3 linked regions of the Lonchura striata genome follow. The protein of the gene in region 2 interacts with the protein of the main gene of each other region in a pairwise test. Links are inferred from orthologs where the notes say so. Each region holds a gene or a part of one and is shown on either strand. Other genes may lie near its edges.

Region 1 (7,731 bases), on a different chromosome or scaffold from region 2:
TTGGCTTGCTGTGACTGAGAGAAAAATGAGCTTGGCTAAATCAAACAAGGTAAGAGAAGCAAGGAGAAACACTTGAAGGAACTGTTGGGTGATGGTTATTTTTATTCCAAAGGATTAGGGACAACCACTACATTAAAAGGAAAAAAAAAAAAAAAAACAACAAACCACTTTTCAGGCTCTTTCAGCCCAGTCAAGGGTACAAGAGAAAAATAAGGATTGGTAGCAAGAGGGACAGGCACAAGCTTTGGTGGAGATGGAGTAAATGTGCACCCACAGGTAGAAGAGAAGGAGCAGAGGAAGGTTTGATTTTGGGAGAGCTGAGCACATGGAAAAACCATCTTAACCTCTGGAGAAATACAAGTCAAAGAAAAGCAAAGTGCTGCCTAAACTAATAAACGCTTTGAAGATTCCAACTCAACATTTTCTTGGCTGCTTTTCTAAAAAAGTCATGGGAAATAAGAATTGTTTGGGCTTCACATTTAGGTGAATCATTTCACCAATTCAATTAGGTTTGTAGAGGGAAGATAAATGACAAAATGAGGGGCTGTATAGATATTTTTTTTAAATGATAGTTCTCTTCCTGGTTCTTTGCTTTCTCATGCCTGGTTTTGTTTTCATTTTTATTTTAAAAATATTTTTAATTTTCTCTTTGTATTATAAAACTCCCTATGCTAGGAATACTAATGGGTGAAAAATAAATATACAATATTTATCTCCCTCTTTGGATAAATTTTTGGTTTATTGCATTTTTATATGTTCCTCGAGTTCATAAGTTTTCCTGCTTGGTGTACGAAAAATTATCAAAGGCAATAAAAATGCAAGGAAGCAGCATCTCCGATTTTCTTAAAAATATCCCAATAAGATAAAAAGTGGAACAAATCCTTAAAATATCTACCCAGCCAGGCTCTTTTCCATTTTTTTCCCATAAGCACCAGCTGTTTTTTCCATACCAGCACAAAGGACATACTTACAGATTCAGTTTATGGGAGCTTTGTTTATGCACTGGGTAAGGATTAACACATAATTTTAATTAATATGGCAAAACCAAGTTCAAAGAAGACAGAAAATTTGTAAATCTTGTAAGACCACTAATTCTGGCTGGGCTTTTAGATGCAGAAAATGTGCTGCATGGAATTTTCCATATTAACATTTTTCCTAAGGTTTACACACTGTAATCCTTTCTTCATCACTATTTCACACGGAACCTCCTGATTTAGTAGATTTTTAATTGCACCCTTGTACTCCCAATATTTAGTGTGTCTTTTTAATATTTCTGTAAACTGAGCATCGCTGTTGTCGTTTGGGTGTTCATTGAGCAGAAAACCTGGGAAAGAGCAGGAACTTAAACCAAGAACTTGCTTTTTAGAGCAACTTTTCCCCTGCAAATCCAATGGTATTGATAGGAAAAGAAGGACATGCATATTTTGGTGGAATGAACCAAATGAATATTTAAAATCATCAATAATTATAAGTAATAATAATATATAATATTTTTATAAATTATAATAAATAATTATAAATAATAATTGTTATTTAAAATAATAAATCAATTCAAACTTTGTGGCAGAATAAGGAGCCTTGCAGAGACACGAAGCAGTAAATATTACATATCTTGGTTTTAGCAAGGTTTTTGGAATGGTCAGACACATTCTTGGAGGGGACAAAGCCTCAGAACTGCCTGAGGAGCTCCTCAGGGAACTGCTGATACACTTGTCCAACAAAATGAAAGGAGCAGCAGGGTTTTCCTGTGGCCACTCTTGAACCTGAAGTTTAATAAATCTCTTCTGAAGGTTGAACTTATCAAAGATTCGGGATGAATGATAGCAAGAAGTTCCCAAAAGGAGCTTGGTCAAGCACCAGATCAACTCCAAGTTTTTCCACATTGGATTTTCCATACATTTTCCCAAGCACCAGTTGGACACTTTGGGGACAAGGGACAGATTCAATCCAGGTTCCTTTTTGGCTGATGCAATGCAGCCCCATGATTTCATGCCTTGGAGCAGCATCAGAGCCAAATTTCTCAGTGGGGTGGAGAACAAAATTTCCAGGTGAAAATGAGCTCTTTTCCACCCTGTTTTCACTCCCTCTGACTTTATAGGTGAGCCCAAGGTCTGGCTTAGAGCTACATCCTTTAAAATATCCCCTAAACAATGGCATCCTGAAGCAAGGAAAGCTGTCCTGAGAAAGGGTTCTGTGGAGTGGGGTGGGTTTGCCCCTGTGGCTTCCTCAGTGTTTTCCAGACTCCAAAAAGAGCCAGAGAAATGGAAATAGCAGCTGTTGCTCTAAACTGTGTGACCAAAGCTGTCCCACACCAGCTCCCAAGTCCTTGCCCAGGAATTCCGAGCAATCCCTACAGAGTTTCCTCTCACCTGCACGATCTGCTGAAAGTCTGAGAACCTGCGAGCTGCTGGAACAGGGAAAGGTCTTGGAACCTTTGTGTGATCCTGCAGCTGGGTTCCTGAGGGTGGAATCGTTTCCCATCCAGGGAGCCGATGCAGATGTTCCCAGCTGCGGCAGGAAATGCCCACCCCCAGCCCTGGCCCCAGGGCTTTCCCTGCCCCTAGAACCACACCGGGGTAAGTCACTAGTGGTGAGCTGGGCTCCTCACTTTAATGAGCTCGTACCGAGGAGCTGCAGCACAGCCTCACTTTGATGCTTATTCCCCCATGGAAGGACTCCTTTCATGTCCCAGATCAACCTGCCAGCCCCTGTTAATTTAAATCTGTCATTAATGAAGGAGGAAGCATTTAGATCTGGTGGCAGGAGAAGAATATTTGGTTTATTTCATCCTGACATAGTGTTTTCTTCCTCAAGGTTTGGCTCCTTAAGAGGCATTACCAGGAAAGGAAATATATAACACGAGATTCTTTCTGGAGCTTGTCACTCTTCTGCTGCAAACAGCAGCAGCTTTGTTAACTTGCACATTCAGCCTCTTCTATTGTAAAGAACATTACTGTGATCAACAAATCTTCTTTTGGGGCCACAAGTCTGCAAACTGGTTTCTTTGACAACTTAAATACACATCTCATGTCTCCTTCAAGAACGATTCTATGAGTTTTTTGATGAAAACTATAGAAAAAGCACCTTAAGCCCATTGTTAGTCAAATTAGAACCCTTGAAATATTACTTTCTATTATTCACCATTTTAAAGGAGTTTAATAAGCTGCATTTTATCAGACACCACTGTATTTTTCAAGGGATGTTAGAGAGACTGTCTCACCATTTTTGTTTCCCAAGCTGCAGATAACATGAAGAAGAAAACAAACCAAGTTTCTTAGGAATCCTTCCATAGCTAATTCCAAACCAATTATTTTCTATAAAAGTGGTGGAGTAGAGGTTTTATGGTTGCTGTATTTAAGTTTTACAGGGCGAGTGTTGATGGTACACAGAGGAAGGGAACATATCCAGGAGACAAAGCAGCACAACAGAAGATTTAGGGTTTAAATATAGGGGCTCTCTCTAAAGTTCCGTTACTAAATCCAGGATGTTTACTACACCATAGAATTATAGAATGGTTTCAGAAGGAAAGACCTTAAAGATCATCTGTTCCCAATTCCCCAAAGGGACACCACCACTAGTTCAGAATCCGTGTTAAAATTTTTAAACAATGTAAACAACTTCTTGCAATTTTAAAATAAACATAAACACTGTCTGCTTGTCTACTCCCTGCCTACAGAGAACCAGCAGCAATTGTTTTATTTCAGTCCTGCAGAAATATTTACTGGTATTTCTAATTAAAGCATCATACAAAATTAATTGCCTGTTTAATATTTTAACATCGTGACTTTCAGAGGAAACTACTTGGAGTAGGGATATGGCCTGTCTGGAGGCTTTGCAATGAACACAGGTCTCAAATCTGAGTCTGACTTCTCAGTGTTCTGACAGCCAAGCCAATAAACGGTGATTTTCCATGATTTCCACCACACAATCCATCAGGATGGGTCAGCAGTGTGCCTCCTGCTCCTTTGTTGAGGAGGTTTCCTTTTGGAAGGGAAATGGAGCCCGGAGGAGGGCTGGCACTGAGGCACCTGGCTGCTCCTGGGTCCCCATAAGGACACAGGGGTGAGTGAGGGCGGCTTGTGCTGTCACCAGCTCCTGCAATGCCCACCTGGACACATCGGCTTTTCCTCCCTTCCCAGACCAAATGTATCCATCCTGGGAAAGAAAAGGTTTATTCATTGAGTGCCGTAATATTGATGCAAATGGAAGCCCTTGGTCCTTCACAGAGCTTTTTGGGCTTCGCTGGGCACAACCTCCTTGTGAGCCCAGGCTGCAGAATGCAGTGGGGTCACAGGGATGGGCACCCACAGAATCGCTGGGTGGATGGGTTGGAAGGGAGATCACCCTGACCAAGGCGGGGTCACCAGGTGACACAGGAAGGTGTCCAGGTGGCTTTGGGGTGCCTCCAGAGAGGGAAGCTCCACGCCCTCACGGAACGGAGCTCTTCCCCGTGCTGTGGCGGAACTTCTGCTGTAGTTGACGGGCGCTGCTCCTTGCGCTGTCCCCGGGCAGAGCCCGGCACCACCCTCCCGGGGTCATTTACAGCGGACTCCGTCCCGGCCGGCCCGCCGAAGGCTCCGGGCCGGCTCTGCGGCCGGGCCGCGGCGTCGGCCGGCGCTGCCCGCGCTCCCGTGCGCGCCCCCCCGGCGGGCGGCGGGGGCGGGCGCCGCGCGGGCCGCGCTGATCGCAGCGCGCCATTGGCCGCTGTCTGCGCGCACGTCACGATCATGATGAGAATTAATGATCGGGGCCGCTGATTTCATTGTGTGACGCCGGGACCGACCCAGCCGAGCCCGGCCGAGCCCGGAGCCCCCGCGCCGGCCCCGCGCTGCACGGTAAGCGCGGGGGAGCTCCCCCCCCTCCCACCCTGGGTGGGGGAGCGCGGCGGGGCCCCCGAGCGGGAGGGGCGCGGCGGGAGGAGGGGAGGAGGAGGAAGATGATGATGATGATGGTGGTGATGATGATGGTGATGATGGTGGTGATGATGATGCCGGCGATGCCCCCCCTCCCCCCGGGCCCGGCGGCGGGGGTGGGGGGAGGCCGGCGCGGGCTCGCGCGCGCGGACGCGCCCGGCGCGCGCAGGCGCCGCTGCTCCCCCCGCCCCCACCCCCGGCGCGGCCCCGAGCGGGGGGGGGGGGGCGGCGGGCACGCGCCGGGAGCCGCCGGGGGAACTGCGCGTGCGCGCGCAGCCGCTCCGCGCGCGCCAGGGGAGCGCCCGCGCGCGTGCGCCGGGCGGGGCCGCTCTGCGCGTGCGCGCCGGGCCCGGCGGCGGCCCCTCAGCCGCGGGTGCCTCAGCGGCGGGCGCGGAAACATCGCGGTCACACAAGTGTCGCTGCCATAGAAACATCGCCGTCACGGCAGCGTGACAGTGACAGAAACATCGCGGCGACAGAGCCCGGGAAACAGCCCGGGATCCCCAGCACAGCCTGTTACCGATCACCGCCCCCGGCACTCCGTGCCACGTCCAGCCTTGCCTTAAACGCCTCAGGGACGGGGACTCTGCCGCCGCCCTGGGCAGACCCTTCCAATGTCTGACCGCTCTTTCTGTGGAGGAATTGTTTATAATGGCGGTCCCAAACCTCCCCTGGCACAGGTGCTGTCATCGCTAATTTCCTCATTCCCCGGTGTCTCAATCACTGAATCACTGAGGTTGGGAAAGAGCTCTGAGATCACCGAGTCCAACCTGTGCTCAGTCCCCACCTTGTCACCCAGCCCAGAGCACTGAGTGCCACCTCCAGGGATGGAGTCTCCAAACCTCCCTGGGCAGCCCCTTCCAATGTCTTATCACCCGTTCCATGAACAATTTATTCCTAATGTCCAACCTAAACCTACCTTGGCAAAACTTAAAGCTGTGTTCTCTTGTGTCACGGATTGCCTCAGTCCTTAGCGCCCGGTGTCCCCAGTGGCTCAGCGTGCCTGTGTTGGCAGGGGTGTGGAAGAAGATGAACTTCAGGGTCCCTTCCAACCCAAACCCGTCTGTGATTCCATGGTACCAGCCTGCTGTGGTTGGACAGGGGGCCTTGTTCTGCCACGCATTGATCCCTCAGGTGTTTGAGGATGAGGAAGAGGACGTGTCCTTGGCTGTGCTCTTGTGGAGATCTCACCTCTTGAAGTGCTTGTGTGGCATTCACCTGCCCGAGCAGTCCCCAGCCCTGTCCCCCCTTATCCTGGGGTTTCTCACTCTGTGGATAAGAACACACATGACTCACCTAAAGTATGTGTCCTCCCAGCTGGACTCCTGAAGCAGCTCACATGTTCAGAGTAGCACTGCATTTTGATGTTTCTTCCTTTTTCTGACACAGGTCTTACAAAACATGTACATGCTTTATTTAAAACACGTGGCTAATCCAGCTGCAGTCAGGAGTCTCATTTGCATCAATAAAGCAGGATGGGATGCAGAAACCTGCAGTGTTGTGGTCATGGGTTATTATGTTATTAAGTTACTGAGGGCTGTCTAATTTGTCCCTAATAAAGGGCTGCATTTTATAGGTAGGGCTGTAATACAATCCTACAAACGCTGTACTTAGTGGAGAGGGAAACAATTATGCTGCGAGTCACGGATATTTAAAAGTAGTTTTACAAGCTGGTGTGTACATTACACTCACCCAAGCATTGGCCTCATCTGCTGCACTTGGACTCAGTGGTTTGGCCTGTGTAGGAAAGAGGCACCAACCTAAAAAATCAGAATATTAAAGGTTGTTGCTTGATGTGTGTCCAGTATCTCCACATAGTGTGTAAGTTGGGGGTTTGGTTGGTTGATTGTTTTCTTTCCATTTGGGATGTGCAAAAAATTGTGGTTTTGGCAGCCTTGGAACGTGAATGAGATTATTTCAGTTCAAGTTTCTAAAGCTGGAGGAATAGTGTCACTACTGCAGTCTGGTTTTATTTATGTCTGTAGTAGTTTTCTTACCATAGTTCCAGTTTTGTCTCAGATTTGTATTGGCACTAAGACTTGTTATTTTTTGCCACTGGAGATCTGTGGAAGAAACAAAATAAAAAATATAAATTGGGAGTGTGCCGATTTTCTTGTACCTCTTACAGATGGAGAGACTAAAACAGAAATAGTCTTTATAAGGTGACTTTTTTCCTAAGAAAATGCCTTTTTGGAGCTGAAGTTAGAAAAGAAAACTCAAAAACTGATTGTTCCTTTTTATCACTTTGTGTTAATCCCTGACAGTTTTAGAATATGTTATACCATAAGTGTTTTTATACTTAGTTACTTCCTGGTGACTTGTACTCTTGAGTTAATGAATTTATTTATTATTTATATGACACCCAAGACTAGTTTCTGTTGCTGTTTGAAGTGAGTATAATTATGGGTTTTTCCTATTTTTCAAATTAATTAGTATAAAGACTTGTAAATGTTTGCTTGATTCAGCAATCCAAACATTTAAGGACTTTAGGAGACCAAGATCGTACTGCTGTGCATTGTAGGGAGAAATTGTGTTTTTTTCCTTATGCTGCTCCTTTATCTTTTCTTTATTTTTTCCCCCCAGATCTCTCAAGTAATTGCAGATCAGCTCAGTAACCCCTGAATTATTTGATTACATTATTTTCCCCCATTTCCTTATAGTTGTCATTCTTTTGTGGCACTCCTTGACATGAAGTTGTTTCCATTAGCTGCTAAAAAGGAATGACCTGGCTTCACCAGGTCTCCCCGGAGAGATTCCTGATTTTGGAATGTTGAATGAAGTAATTGGGGTGGAAGGGCTGGATTTGCAGCAGGCACTG
Region 2 (7,634 bases):
AGGATTTTATTAGGAAGAGCCCAACTTCAAAGCCAGAGGTACAGTACAAATTTGTTACATTCTCTATTCATGGAGCTCATTCAGGAGCAGGAAGGACCGCCTCAGGGGAAACCCTGTATTTGCATCTGCACCAAGAATCTTCTTTTGACTGATGTTAAGAGCACTCCGAAGTTTGTGTGGAAGGCGAAACACAAAACGCAGAGAGGAAAGAGACCCACAATGGAAAGTCATTGGAAAACTCCACTCCTAATTCATCCACCTAGAAAAGTCCTTAGTGTATTGTTTGTAGTCACTTCCCAGAAGCTGACAATAGCATTGCTCTTCACAGCTACCTTTTGAGAACCTTTCAGAAATAGTGTGTGATTCCCAAAAGGCTGCGGACCACAGCTCACTGCACAGGTTTTTGTAAGTATGGCCTAAATTTAAGACAGGTGATAAAAACCCAGTAGTCAAGGCCGAATTATACTTATTTCAAAACCCATCACAAAAAAAGAATAAATTTTATTTTTTTCACCAGCAATTCTATGCAACAAGATATTTAAATTTGAGATACTCTACCACATTTTATAATAAAAGTGGATATTGGATATCAACAGACAAACTCCATCTTGGTGCATGGCCTTCACAAAAATAGACAGAAACGCTTCCAAGAAGTTCTGATTGGATCCCAAGACTTCTCCCAACATGGCTAAACCCCTTTATGCAACAGGCATGGAGTTCTGCAGATTCTCCAATGTTCCACAGTTAGGATCTGCTCTGATCTGCAAGCCAAAGACTACAACTTCAGCTCCCTGAACAAAAAAAACCAAATCGCTGTTAACTGTAGAGAAACTGATACATATAATTAAAAGCTGATTAGTGATACAATATTTCTCCTAAGGCAGAGAATTTAATTCAGCCATTTCCTCTTCTAATGTAAACCAGCTAATAGCTGGCAGCCCAGGCAGAGTAGGACAGATTAGCAGAGAGTTGTGGCAGGAGTCGTTCTACTTAAGAGAACTTAACAAAATCAAGCTCCAAGTTTTCACCCAACAACAGGAGAGAAAGAACTTCTGGTGTCCATAGAGGTTTTACCTCACACAAGCATTTCCTGCACAGGACAGCAGTAGGAAGCTCACCTCTACAACAGAAACTCTCAGCTCTCACTGCTGGCTGAGCTAACAGCTGGAGGAACCACTAAGTGGAAAATGCCAGGATAAACAGGCCTTCACATTACTTCTTACTTGCAACCTGCCATCACTGCCAGCAACAATTCTTTTAGCGTTTGAGCTCCAACTGCAGCAAAACCCTAATCAATCCCTTAAGCAACAAGGTTTCTTCCCAAACAAGGGCCTTTGCCATTCTTCACTACAGACCTAAATTTCCCTCAGCCTCCAAAAATCTTATGTCAATACAGTCAGTATGTTTTAAGCTGTTGATAGAAAAGAAGTGCTAACGTGACTGGAAACTCTTCATGAGTATCTAAGATTAGACATAGGTGTAAAAACAGACTGATCAGACCACCACCAAAGTACTGATGTGCACAATGACTAAGAAATTATTTATATTTTGAAGTCTCAAATTTGCAATATCTTAGCCCACTGTGTCATTTTAATACAATACTCCCCTAGACAATAAGGGCTAACAAACTTCTTGCTAGAATCACTTGAAAAACAACACTTCTGTGGACAAAAACAGCAATAGCTTTGTCTGTCAGAGCAGCATACAGGGAGGATGTTATTCTGCTGTTGCTCAGGTCTCTAATTAGATAAAGACATACAGGTTGAAATGAGCTGTAACTAAAGAAGTTGAGCATTTACTAGTTTTTTTTTCAAGTACTAGGGTAGGGACAGGCCAATGTGACATAAAGAAAACATTCAGGGGTGACTTGATCATGTTCCTTAGCCCCAGAAGAAGGGGCTGCGCAGCTAAGCGATCCAGTTAAGCAAAAAGCAAAAGGAACTCCTCTTCACACGGGATTAGACACTAGACACTTATCTTGATAGCTAAACATCCAAGAACTTCCTTCATGCCACTCTCCCACATAAACAACTGCTGTTCCTGGTGTCAGACACTGTGTCAGCAGAGACACTGAACAGCAGATTCACATTCTGTGATAACACATAGCTACGTAAGGCCAAGAGAAGCTGGCAGTGCCCCGTATGGGCAGGGCTGTATGGGTACACAGGGATGTGCCCGGCCTGCAGGCTGCAACAGCGGGTTCGCTCCGGTCCGTGCCGCCGCACTCGAGCCCCAGGCCCCTGGCCAGAAGACAGAGCCCGGCACTCCTGACCGGGGGGGAAACTCCAGACCCTCCCTCACCTTCTGCGGGAACACCTCCACTGAGTAACACGCACGCCCTTTTCATAAGACCTGCCCCAGATGGGGCCTTCATCAGCAACCCCTCAGGCGTGGACCCTCCAAATCACCCCAGAAACCCCAATACACTCTCCTGTCCTCAGGGCACACCTCTCCAGACCCTTCTATTACCAGCACATTCTCTCCAGGAGCCCCCTCCAAACACACACCTAGGCAACCAACTGCACCCCCAATCCCCCCATCCGCAGACCCGCTGCATGTCCCCAAAACTCCCGCAAATCACCCCTGACACAGAACGCAACCCCCAGTCCCTGCCCTTGCCACAACCCTCCCCAGCCCCTCCAGCTTACCCCGTGCGACGGCCCCAGCCCCAGTGCTTCTCCCAACCCTCTCCCACTCCCACTCCTCCTCCCAAACCCTCTCCTATCCCACACAAGGCGCCGGCCCCGCGGCTCCCCCCGGCTCCACGCAAGACCCCGGCCCCATCCAGGCCGCCTCACCAGTACTTGAGGATGGCGGTGACCTGGAGCGGGTTGGGCTGGTCGGGATAGAGGCGGCGGCACTCGCCGTAGATACCGTGCAACCCCGGCGGGAACAGCGACGGGAAGGACCCGGACCCCGAGCCGGACCCCGGCCCGCCCGCGGGGGGCCCCCCGCCCGGCCGCACGCCCTCCATGTCCCGGAGGCGGCTGGTCCCGGCCCGTCCCGGTTGGTGCCGAACCCGCTCCGCTCCCGCCAGGCGCTCCCGGCCCGGCCCTGCCCGGCCCAAGCGGCTGCGTGGGGCCGCGGGAGGAGGGGCGGGGCCTACTGCCGGGCCGCGTGAGTGACAGACCGCCTCCGCCAATGGCGGCGCTGCGCGGGGCTTCGCGCAGAGGAGGTGGGGCCCCGCTGCAAGGGCGGCGTTGAGTGACAGGACGGACTGACCAATGGGAGCTCGCCGCCCGGAGGGCGGCCGCGTCTCTGCCCCGCCCCTCGCTGCGGGTCGGGCGCGCCCCCTAGCGGCGGCGCGGGGCTGGGCGGTGGGCGGGGCGGCGGCCGCGCGCGGCGGTGGCGGGAACGCGGAGCGGGTCCGGGGGAGCGGGAGCTCCGCGCCCGGCGGGCCCGGGAGCACAGCGGGGCTCTGACTGCTGCCTTTACACCCCCGCCAATGCAGGGCCCTTGGAGGCAGCTGGAAGCTGCCAGTGCGTGAAGTCTGGGGCTCTGCGATCGCGGATTCTGGCTTGTGCACAAGCGCACTGACGGTCTGGCTCATTCCCGAGCTGCAGCTACAGCTGTGGAGGTGCAAAGCCGGGTATGTACATGTGGATGGTGTGTGCGCAGTAGTTTACACACCTTTGCTAGAGCAGGGTCCTGCTTGTTAATCAGGAAATAGAAAAAAAAAGAGCTATAGAGTGCTCAGCAGAGATGGTGGGCGCCCTGCTCGCATTTCTCACTTAAATAGGTGAGAGTTTATTCTAAAAACTTTCACAACACCATTTGGGGGAACACACATGGTGAAGAAGCTGACAGCCAAATGACAATCCTCTGATAAAGGAGGTGAGCAGTTGGTGTCCTCACTTTCCACAGTGAAAAATATTTCACTTGTCCTGTTACCATGATACTACTTTTTGTGTCATCTGCCTGAGTAGTCAGCTGCAGTCAGCTGAGAAGGTGAGTGTAACAGAGTATGTAGAAAGGCTGCGTTGGAAACACCCATAGTGAGTGTCTCCTGCCATTCACTGAAGTGATACAACACTGTCTTTCATCTAAACCCCTCAATCCTGCTGTATAAAAACTCCCTCTTTTAGACTAGGTGAATGGGGAAGGTCGCTAAATGTAAACATCTGGGATGAAACTTATCTACTGGAGCTAAAGGCAGGAACTACAGGAGAAAAGTCCATGTCTGCAGGAGAGATGTGGGACAAGACAGGTGAGTCAAGCCTTCAGGTTTGCTCAGTGGCATGAAAATCCATTTTAATTAGTTTCAAGATCCAGAGTTTCAGTGATCGATTATTCCAAGTGCTTTTAGAATACTTAGTCAATGGAAATGACAGTGTGTTCATTGTTCAATACTGAAATGATCATGATGTGTATTCTTTATACTGACACCTCTTTTGTGGTTCTTGTACCTCAAAAATGGAGAGAAACTGGTGTTTCGTGGAGGGAACAGATGACTTATGACCAGTAGTTCATAAAGATGATCACATGAAATTATGGGACAATAAAACACTTTCCGTAGTCATAGATACCCTCTACAGAAGTTGATATAATCACCTTTTTCTCCTTTCCTATTAGAAAAAATTAAGAGGGGAGAATCTATTAAGCGGAAGCCAGCCAGTTGCGGTGCAGCGTTTCCGGTGGAAGCACCCAGCTATCTCCTGGACCGCAACATTCTCCGGTGTCTAGGCCGTGGATGTGTCCGCAGGATTCCCTTTTTCCGCACTCCGCCTCCCGGCACGCCCCGCTCCCGATGCCGGCCTACAGTTCCCGGCATGGCCCGCTCCCAGCGCCGGCCTACAGTTCCCGGCATGGCTCGCTCCCGGTGCCGGCCTACAGCTCCCGGCGTGCTCCGCTCCCGGCGCGCCTCCCCGCTTGACTCTGCGCAGCGTCGGACTATAACTCCCGGCAGGCGCCGCGGCGGCAGGAATACATCACCCAGGCGGCGCCGCGTCGCCGCTCCGCGCATGCGCCGCCGAGGGCTGGGCTGTTGCTCCCTCACGGGCGGCTGCGGCGGGTCCTCGCCATGGAATCCTACGATGTGATAGCGAACCAGCCCGTCGTGATAGACAACGTGAGTGCGGGCGGCCGCGCGTCCCGGGAGCGGGGAGGGCCCGCAATCCCTTTGTCATCGGGGCGGCCGCTCCCCGCCCGCCGCCCCCCCCCCCCCACCTCGGCCGGCTCGGCCGCCGCCTCCGGCCCTCGCACGGCGCCATACGGCGTCCTCGGGGGGCGGGGCCGCTGCGCCTCGGCGAGTCGCGATTGGCTGGGGCGAGTGGCAGTCAGCCACGGCGGGGCCGCTGCCCCGCGCTGGGGGGCGCAGCCCCCGCCGCCGCTGAGCTGCCGCTGGTTGGGAGGGGCGGCGCGCCCCCATTGGCTGAGACAGCTGTCAGTCAGCGGCGCAGCCCGCTGCTGCCTGCCGGAGCGGGGCGGGACTGTCGCCAGAGCACCCGCGCTCATTGGCAGCTGGCGCTGTCAGTCGGGCGGGGCTTCCCCGGCCCCGCCCACCCCTCTTTGTGCCGGGGGGACAATGGGGGTGCTGGGCCAGGCCGTGGCCACACTGCCAGCGTGCTGTGGGGCAGGCCTTGGCCAGGGCTCCAGTGTGCTCCTGCTAGGCCGTGCTTGGACCCCAGCAAGCTCTGGGGGTGCTGGCGCTTCCCTGGCCCCGTGCAGGATATGATGCTCTGCAGCCAGGCACCCCTCGCAGGCCCAGCGAGGGAGAAGCCTTGACCTCTTGTGCCCCCTCATCCAGTGCATCCAGCACAGTGGTCACAACAAGGCAGTGCCCCTCACAACAAGGGAATGCCACTGCTGAAGGATCTGTTCCCAGGGTTACATCAGCGCAGTGTGGTGTTGCAGATGGCTGCTCCAGTATTGCTGATGGTGCTCATTAGCACAAAGCAGACCTTCAGTCTGTGTATGTAATAGCTCTGCAGGAGATGAATGACAGTGATTCTGTGCCTCTTTGAGGTACTTCTGGGTCCAGTTCTGATTTGCCCCATCCATGCTGCCCTCCCAGGAGGAAGGACCATCCAGGAAGGAATGGGAGGGCATGTCTTGGATAGAGCCTCCTTCAGTGTAATGAGTCACAAACTCGTGCTCCTCCCTTCTGACCTCTATCGCCAGTGATTGATATTCTGTTGTTTTGAAGGGTCAGTGCTGTGCTCCATTTTTCTTCCACAAGCTTAATTTCTCCCGATTTTTTTTTTTCCATATGAATTGGGTTTCCTGCCCTGGCAGTTCTCAGCCTATTGCTTTAACTCTCCATGCAGTGAATGATTGTAGGTCTTCTCAGATAACGGCAATTATTCTTCTGACTTTTTCTGTATTGTGGATCCCAAATTCCTCTCTCTGATACAGTTTTGGCTTTATTTCCCTGGAATCTTACAGATGAAGGATTTTAGTTAGACATGGAAGGAAAGCATCTAATAGAAAAGGATAGTAAGGAGTGAAATTGACTGTGTTGAGAAAAACATGTATGTCCTTTACTGAATATGTTAAAAAATGCATTAAGTTGATTGTTTTTAGGAATGCCTGTATCAGCACTGATCCTGCTGCATTGTTGAGTGATTAGCTAAACATTAAAGTTATCTCTAGGTATTCTGGAGCTGTGAGGATCACTTAGTTGAGCTATTAGTGCAGGAGCAGCCTATATTTAATTTCAGCATGTCCTTTTGTTATTTAGTGCAATGATTGCTGCCTCTGCCTCAGACCTGAAGAAGGCCTCATGTGCCAGCAGCTGATTCTGTGTCTTTTTCATTTTATCAGCTGGTCTTATAAAAGCTAATTCTTGTTCTTGCCTCTCCAATAAACGAGCTTCCCCCTTCCCCTCCCTTTACAAGAAGGAGAATGGAGCAGTTGTTGTGGCATCTGCCTGTAACGCTGGCAGGCTCTGGGCCAAGGAGACTCGTGGTGACACTGCATTTTTGCTACTCTTTGGAGTTCAGGCAGGATGGGAAGTGGAGCTGCACAGAGCAGGTACCACTTCTCACTGCTGTCTCATTACTGCTTTTCTGCAGAGAACTGAAGAAGGCTGAATGTTATCCTGTCTCACATGTGCCTGTGTGTGGAAAGGGGGAGGTGAGATACTGAGCTGGTGAGAGCCAGACCCCTCCAGTCCCAGCCCTGCTCTAGAATTAAAGTGTGTTCCAAAAGGACATGAAGTTCTGTAGCTAAAAAATTAACAGGGACGTTTATTTCTCTTACCACAAATTGCTCTTAGCTGTATGCTTTCAGCAGGGAGAGCTTTGTAATGTACAGTGGGAAGCTGGAGCTGTACCTCAGCACAACTTTTTACTCTTGATTGTCTAATTTTTAAGAGTTGTATTCCCATCTGCAGTCCAACAAGTTCTCTCTGAACGGTCTGGGAGCCCTGCTGAACATAATGCACATGTCAGTAGTCCAGCTGTGGCCTAAGTCAGTGCAAATTCCTTGACCTCCATAGAACTTGGAATTATCTCTGGTTTGCTTTGTAGTCTTTAGTGGTGGCATTTTATGCAGCTGAGCTGTCATCAAGGGCTCTTGTCTTTGGTTTGTTCTTGATCTTAAAAATTCTTTATCTAATAAAACAGTGTTACAACAATATGAAATGTGCACTCTCCATAGAAAGTGCTACATGAAAGATTGACTGGTGATTTCCA
Region 3 (6,983 bases), on a different chromosome or scaffold from region 2:
ACAGTTATGAACATGCAGTTGTGTCACTCACTAAGAAAACTTTGGATGCACTTACTTTTAATGCACTTATTAGTCTTACCTGCCTTATTTTACATAAGCTTTGCTGCTATTTCAGCACATCAAAAATTAAGCATTGTCTTTGGATATGAGTTACAGTTTCTAATGCTAACTTTGTTAATTTGAGGTTCTGATTGTCTTCCTTACTTTATGCTCAGGACTTCTAATCAGGCTTCATCCATGACAACAAAAGTTCTTATCCTGTATATAAAGGCTGCCTGTATCTTATGTTTTAGACCACATGTTTCTCAAGGTGATAGGATCCATCACTTCTTTTCATATGAAAAAATTGAGAAAATTTACTTCACATACATAGAAATAACTTGATAAGGGAAAAAGATTTTTAAAATGGTGATTAGAATTGGCTTTTGGTATTGTCAGGGCTATTTAAAGCAATTTATTTAACACAAACTCACCATTTATTTGCTAGATTTGAATTAAAATGAGCACTTTGTCAGTATAAACCTTTTTTGCTGTCTGTGTTACTCATTTGCATACATTACCATGGCTATCATGGTTAGTTTTTGGATAATCTTTGAACTTTTTAGTGAAGACTTCCAATTAAATGATAATTGCATAGAAAATTCTGGCATATAGCAGGAGTAAAGAGACAGTAAACAAAAAGCTCATTGAGCTCACAAATAAATTCTGTGCTTTCATGTGGAAAAGACCCTTTCAGTTGTCGGTTCTTTTACTATGATTTTTAAAGTGAGACACATTTTACAAATATTTCTGCTTTAAGTGTGCTATGAATAGTAAATTTATTTACAAGTTTCTCAATTTCTAAGTGTCCATACACTTAGAAAAAAATCCCAAAACACTGGAAAGCCATGAAACTTTAAAAGAAAGATTGAAGGCTCAATATCTCTGCTGGGTTTTCTGGGCATGTAAAGAACACAGTACCAACTTATGAAATTCAGTCACATTAACTGGATGTAGTATGAATGAATGACGAAGGACCTTTAGCTTGGAAGAGTTTCTTCAGCTAAGGATCCAGGCTGACCTAGCAGAGCCCAGTGATGTGGACATACCAAAATATATCCCCCTCCCTCAACTCTCCTCCTAACAGCTCTTGCAGCAGGATAGGGATACAGGCTTCCCGTCACCTTGCAAGAAGCAATCAGGACTGCCACAGTGCCATTCTTATTCTTGGAGAACTGGGATTTAAAGTTGTTTTAAATGCAGGGTTGGTCATGCTTGGCATGACAGAGTGCACCTGCTGCACTCTTCAGTTGCCCAGCCATGTCAGTGGGCTCCCTTGTTTGGAGATTCGCTGGCTGATAGGATGCCCTACCATGAGGTCTGCATGCTCATGCTGGTAGAGCGATTGAGTAATTTGCTGCTCTCTGAGTCTGGCTTTTCAGCTGCTTTATTCACCTCTAGCTTCAGTTCATTTATATTCTCAATTTTCCAATTACACCAGAGGGGAATAAGGTGGACCCAAACTGAAAGAACCAATATGTTTCAGTAGCTGGGACATATCCTGCATGTGCAGCAGTCTTTTCGAGAGCAATGGGGGCTCTTAATGGCAATTACCTCTTGGCTGCAACTGTTGCTGCGAGAGCTGATCATCAGCCTGGGGCCATAGGATCCCTGTGTTTTTGCTCTGAGTGGATACTTCCAGCTTTATCACAACGCTAGTCCTGTGGTCTTTCCAAGTCAGATTTCCTCCTAATTGAGAAGGGCTCTTGCATGCATATCACAGCTTTCTATGCCTGGTGGAAAAATGCCAGCAGACATTAAGCCACTTCATCCTATTTCCCACTTCCCAAACCCTCTGTTTTACCTGCTACCCTGCCGTAGCACTAGGTTTTCTCGTACACGTCACACACAGGTCACATCCAGGCCCCCTTACAGCCTCCGTCCGTGCAACTCCCCACGCATTCCCCATAAAGCCCGTAGCATGTAGCCCAAAGACTATCCTCCAGGGACCCTGCAGTCCCTACTGCTTCTTCCTCTGCCAGAATTGGTGCGGTACCGCAGCTCCCCCGGTTCCGTTACACACAGACACAAAATCACCCCCGCCTCCCCTACCGCGAACACCTCTGGCTTCCAGCGCACCCCTCCGTTCCCTCATCCCCTCCAGCGTCTGTGCAGCCCGCCCCTACCCCTAAGCCTCCCCCTCGGCTTATTCCAGCCCCTACAGGACCACCCCATCAAGCCCCCTGTACCTCCTGCCAGACCCCTGCTCCCCCCGCCTCTGCCCAGCTGTGTCCCCCTGCCCAGCTGTGTCCCCCTGCACAGCTGTGTCCCTCTGCCCAGCTGTGTCCCCCTGCACAGCTGTGTCCCCCTGCACAGCTGTGTCCCTCTGCCCAGCTGTGCCCCCCTGCCCAGCTGTGTCCCCCTGCCCAGCTGTGTCCTCCTGCCCAGCTGTGTCCCCCTGCCTAGCTGTGTACCCCTGCCCAGCTGTGTCCCCCTGCACAGCTGTGTCCCTCTGCCCAGCTGTGTCCCCCTGCACAGCTGTGTCCCCCTGCCCAGCTGTGTCCCTCTGCCCAGATGTGTCCCCCTGCACAGCTGTGTCCCTCTGCCCAGCTGTGTCCCCCTGTGCAGCTGTGTCCCCCTGCCCAGCTGTGTCCCCCTGCCTAGCTGTGTCCCTCTGCCCAGCTGTGTCCCTCTGCCCAGCTGTGTCCCCCTGCCTAGCTGTGTCCCCCTGCCCAGCTGTGTCCCCCTGCGCAGCTGTGTCCTCCTGCCCAGCTGTGTCCCCCTGCCTAGCTGTGTCCCCCTGCCCAGCTGTGTCCCCCTGCGCAGCTGTGTCCTCCTGCCCAGCTGCGTCCACCTGCCTACCTGTGTCCCCCTGCCCAGCTGTGTCCCCCTGCCCAGCTGCGTCCACCTGCCTACCTGTGTCCTCCTGCCCAGCTGCGTCCCCCTGCCCAGCTGTGTCCCCCTGCCCAGCTGTGTCCCCTTGCCCAGCTGCGTCCCCCTGCCCAGCTGTGTCCCCCTGCCTAGCTGTGTCCCCTTGCCCAGCTGTGTCCCCCTGCCCAGCTGTGTCCCTCTGCCCAGATGTGTCCTCCTGCCTAGCTGTGTCCCCCTGCCCAGCTGTGTCCCCCTGCCCAGCTGTGTCTCCTTGCCCAGCTGTGTCCCTCTGCCCAGCTGTGTCCCCCTGCCCAGCTTTGTCCTCCTGCCCAGCTGCGTTCCCCTGCCTAGCTGTGTCCCCCTGCCCAGCTGTGCCCCTCTGCCCAGCTGTGTCCCTCTGCCTCGCTGTGTCCCCCTGCCTAGCTGTGTCCCTCTGCCCAGCTGTGTCCCCCTGCCCAGCTGTGTCCCCCTGCGCAGCTGTGTCCCCCTGCCTAGCTGTGTCCCTCTGCCCAGCTGTGTCCCCCTGCCTAGCTGTCCCCCTGCCCAGCTGTGTCCCCTGCCCAGCTGTGTCCCCCTGCCTAGCTGTGTCCCCCTGCCCAGCTGTGTCCCCCTGCACAGCTGTGCCCTCCTGCACAGCTGTGTCCCCCTGCCCAGCTGCGTCCCCCTGCCCAGCTGTGTCCCCCTGCCCAGCTGTGTCCCCCTTGCCCAGCTGTGTCCCCCTGCCTAGCTGTCCCCCTGCCCAGCTGTGTCCCTCTGCCCAGCTGTGTCCCCCTGCGCAGCTGTGTCCCCCTGCTCAGCTGTGTCCCCCTGCCCAGCTGTGTCCCCCTGCCCAGCTGTGCCCCCCGGGACCGCTCCTCCCGGGCGGCGGGGCGGGCGCGGCCGCGGGAAGGGTTAAGGGCGGGCACATGACAGCGGGCACGGGCTGCCGCGCTCGGCGGGGGCCGCGGCTGCCGCGGGGTAGGCGGGAGCGGAGCGCTGAGCCCCGCGGCGGCGCCGCGCCCCGCCGAGCGTGCCCGCGCCCGGGGGCGTGCGGCGCGGCGCGGCCCCTGCGCTGCCCCGCTCGCCGAGCTGCTCCCGGCCCCGCGCCGCCGGCCCCGGCGGGGACAGGGTGAGTCGGCGGCTCACGGCCTCCGTGTCAGCGCGGGGAGGGCGGAGGAGAAGGGAAAGCAAAACAAACGCTCTTGTGGTGCCGTCAGTTCGCGGTTACTCACCTCGCCGGCCGGTCCGCCGCCGAGATGGGGACGCAGCTCTGTCTGGAAAGACGGGACAGACGCACGCCCGGGAGATTTGTCATCCCGCTGGTGAATAACCGGAGATAGGTACCCGCGGAGGGAGGCTGCGGAGCGGCGCGGGCGGGAAGCCGGGAGCGGCCGGGGGTACCGGCCGGAGTGATGTGCATCCCGCGGAGCTGCCGCGCGGAGGCTCGCGGCTCTGGTGCCGGGCAGTGTCCCGCCCGGGGCTTCCTCTCATCCAGGGACTGTCCCCGTCCGCAAGAGACCAGACGTGTCGTGCTTGGTGAGGTGACAGCTCTCTTCATCTGCCGGCCTGTACATTGCTAGCAACTCCAGCCTCTTAAAAGACTAAATTAATTAACTTTTAGCTGTGCCTTCCTCCCTTGTTCGCTTTTGGCCCCAGTTCATCCTGCTCATGCTTTGATTGCGAGATCTGTGGGATGAGCCGTGGTAGTGATAAGGGTGGCGTTAGTTGTTCCCCGGGCCATCAACCGGGCAACCTATGGTGGCCTCCTGCACGAGGAGTGGTCGTAGCAGGGGCACCAAGTCAGGGCAGGTGTCCGTGGCCCTATACCTCTGCCTCTGGGGACGTTGTTGGTGGTTTTCTATGTCCTGCATGGACTGAAGATATCACCACTGCTGACACGGCAGCATTAGCAGTTGTGCCTGCACTCCTGGAAAGTTCCAAGTCACTAGAGGCAAAGTGAACAAGGCAGCATTGAGAGTAAAAGGTGCACGAAAGGCTTGCAGAAACCTTTGTTTGATAGGTAAGGATGCTGTGGCTACTGATGGCATGTCAGAAAGCTTGCTCAGATTCAGGTACTCTGTGCTGACTGATCTATATTGGGTTTTTCAAGCACCTTGTCTGAAGGCTGTAGCTAGCCCTGCTGAGAATAAGTTTGCTCCTGGAAAGCTCATGCTATTCATTTGGTGCAACCACTTGCAGTAGCACCACTCTGATATTTAAGGTTCTAGTAGAGAGGAAGCTTATGAGATCTTAACAATCTATTATTATTAACATAATAAACTTGAGAAGGTTTCTCTGGCAGGCTGGCAAGAATGGTAACTACACTAGGATATACATCATCCTGTCCACTGATAATGGCTGCTCTCTTGGTGGCATTTGCAGCAGTATCAGTGACTGTGCTCTGCTCTGTGTTTGTACAGTCCCTTGCACAAAGGCATTCCTTTCTGTGACTAATCTTCCTAGGAATTATAGTGATGCAAGTAATAAGTAATTAGTAGATTTCATTAGACTAGCTCTGAGAAACTCAATCATATTTGGGGCCTGGTTGCCTTGAGTGCTGTGGAAGATCTTTAGCTATCATTTACCTTGTTTGTTTATGCTGTATCATTCTGATGATGCTCAAGAACTAAGAACCTTCAGCTTGTGTGAACTTTTCTAGTTTTCCTTGGCTGAAAACCAGGACCTTAGAAAAATGTGATATTTTCAGACTACTTGCAGTTTGGAATGAAGACCCCTGTGGTACTTCAAGAATACTACTGTGAAGAAATGGATACAAATTATCAAAACAGTGGATGCTAATTTGATATATTTATTATTCTCAGTAGTGAGTGAGTTCTGAGATGCTGGGAGACATGGAGGGTGGGGAAGATGTTCTATATAAATTGAGAGAAAAGCTTATTTTTAGCCCCAGTTTTGAAAGCACATTGTCTTCCTTTATTGCAGTTGGAATTCTTAATGTACCTATTATTCCAAGCGTAATTTCAAACTCTCAGTTATTATTTCTTGCCTAGTTAAATCTCTATGTGGTTTTCCTTTTCAATGAGAATTTATTGCTGTGCTCTGTTCTGCAAACTAGAGCAAGATAACTGTACAAAAACTGTAGCACTTCCTATGCATGTGTGCTCTATTTAGAAAATCATGGTGGCTTGCACCTGTATAAGGTTTTGTCTTTCTCACAAGCAGTTGTGACACACAAAAACCTCAGGAGTCAGTGAGGCTCAGGTGAAGCATCCCTATAGCTTTTGGTGCCTGTTCCTTCCCCCTCTCCATCACAGTCCTGTGCACCCAGACTGGCTCATCATGTGTGATGCCAATACTTCTGAGTATTTTACTGTGGTGCCACTGAAAGATGATGCTCCAGAAACCATGGCCATGCATAGATGGAAGGGCTGATAGGGGAGAATAGAGCTCAAAGGGTAGGTAGACACTTTGGGTGGCCATGTTGTTGCTCAGCCCTGGGAGGAAGTAAATTTTTCCCTGGAATTGTGCCAAGGAAATTGTTGAGGGGAACATGGTGAGAGTATTGGTTATCCATATTCATATTTGGGATGAGGGCAGGCACTCACAGTCTTGGAATGCACAGTCCTAGAGGAGGGGGTTATGGTTCATGTTTGATTTCTGTGGTGTCTGGTAGCTGTTGCAGAGGTGAGATGTGTCCAGTGGAAAAATAGAAGGTTGAGTGCCTTGTCTTTCAGTCTTCTCCTTTGTGATAGTGCTTGCTACACTGCATGCAAAGTGCCAGTGTCTAATAACTACTTCCATGAAAGCATCTCCTGAGCTGGATTTACTATTCCTTAAACTGATCTCTGCTTCTGTTGAAATTGAAAAGTACTTTACCTCTCCTTTCAGTGGGTGAAGCAGTTAGCCAACTCTGATTAAAGCTCTCAAAACTGCACTGGAAAGGTAGACGATATAGCATACTGTGCTACAGACATAGATTTGTGAATTATTCTTTTGTTTCACCTTCTCAAGGAGTAGTGTTTGGATTTTCCAAGGCTTTGGTTCAGCTTGAATTTAAATTTTATTTTGATGGAAGTCAATTTATGAGTCATTGCTATGGATTTTGAGCACTTATGTTGTCATAATGTTATTGATGCAAAGTCAGAAGTTTGAGTAATGTCAGTTTAGGAAAAAAGAGACTTTAAAAGCAGTGG

The links. The genes of interacting proteins can lie anywhere in the genome.
Region 1: the proteins of SUFU (region 2) and HDX interact in binary tests that used the Homo sapiens proteins (3 or more experiments, as listed by UniProt). The link is inferred for Lonchura striata from reciprocal best matches to the Homo sapiens genes SUFU and HDX.
Region 3: the proteins of SUFU (region 2) and GLIS3 interact in binary tests that used the Homo sapiens proteins (3 or more experiments, as listed by UniProt). The link is inferred for Lonchura striata from reciprocal best matches to the Homo sapiens genes SUFU and GLIS3.

What each region holds. Positions count from the first base shown.
Region 1 is NC_134616.1:4,436,580-4,444,310, forward strand, and holds the start of HDX (highly divergent homeobox), read left to right. Parts: upstream 1-4,642; 5' UTR 4,643-4,835; intron 4,836-7,731.
Region 2 is NC_134609.1:20,014,989-20,022,622, reverse strand, and holds the start of SUFU (suppressor of fused homolog), read right to left. Parts: upstream 3,035-7,634; 5' UTR 2,975-3,034; coding exon 2,799-2,974; intron 1-2,798. Other genes in the region: ACTR1A (alpha-centractin), read left to right, coding at 5,021-5,068. UniProt on the Homo sapiens protein: Negative regulator in the hedgehog/smoothened signaling pathway. Down-regulates GLI1-mediated transactivation of target genes. Down-regulates GLI2-mediated transactivation of target genes. Part of a corepressor complex that acts on DNA-bound GLI1.
Region 3 is NC_134642.1:16,924,496-16,931,478, reverse strand, and holds the start of GLIS3 (zinc finger protein GLIS3), read left to right. Parts: upstream 1-3,894; 5' UTR 3,895-3,958; intron 3,959-6,983. UniProt on the Homo sapiens protein: Acts both as a repressor and an activator of transcription. Binds to the consensus sequence 5'-GACCACCCAC-3'.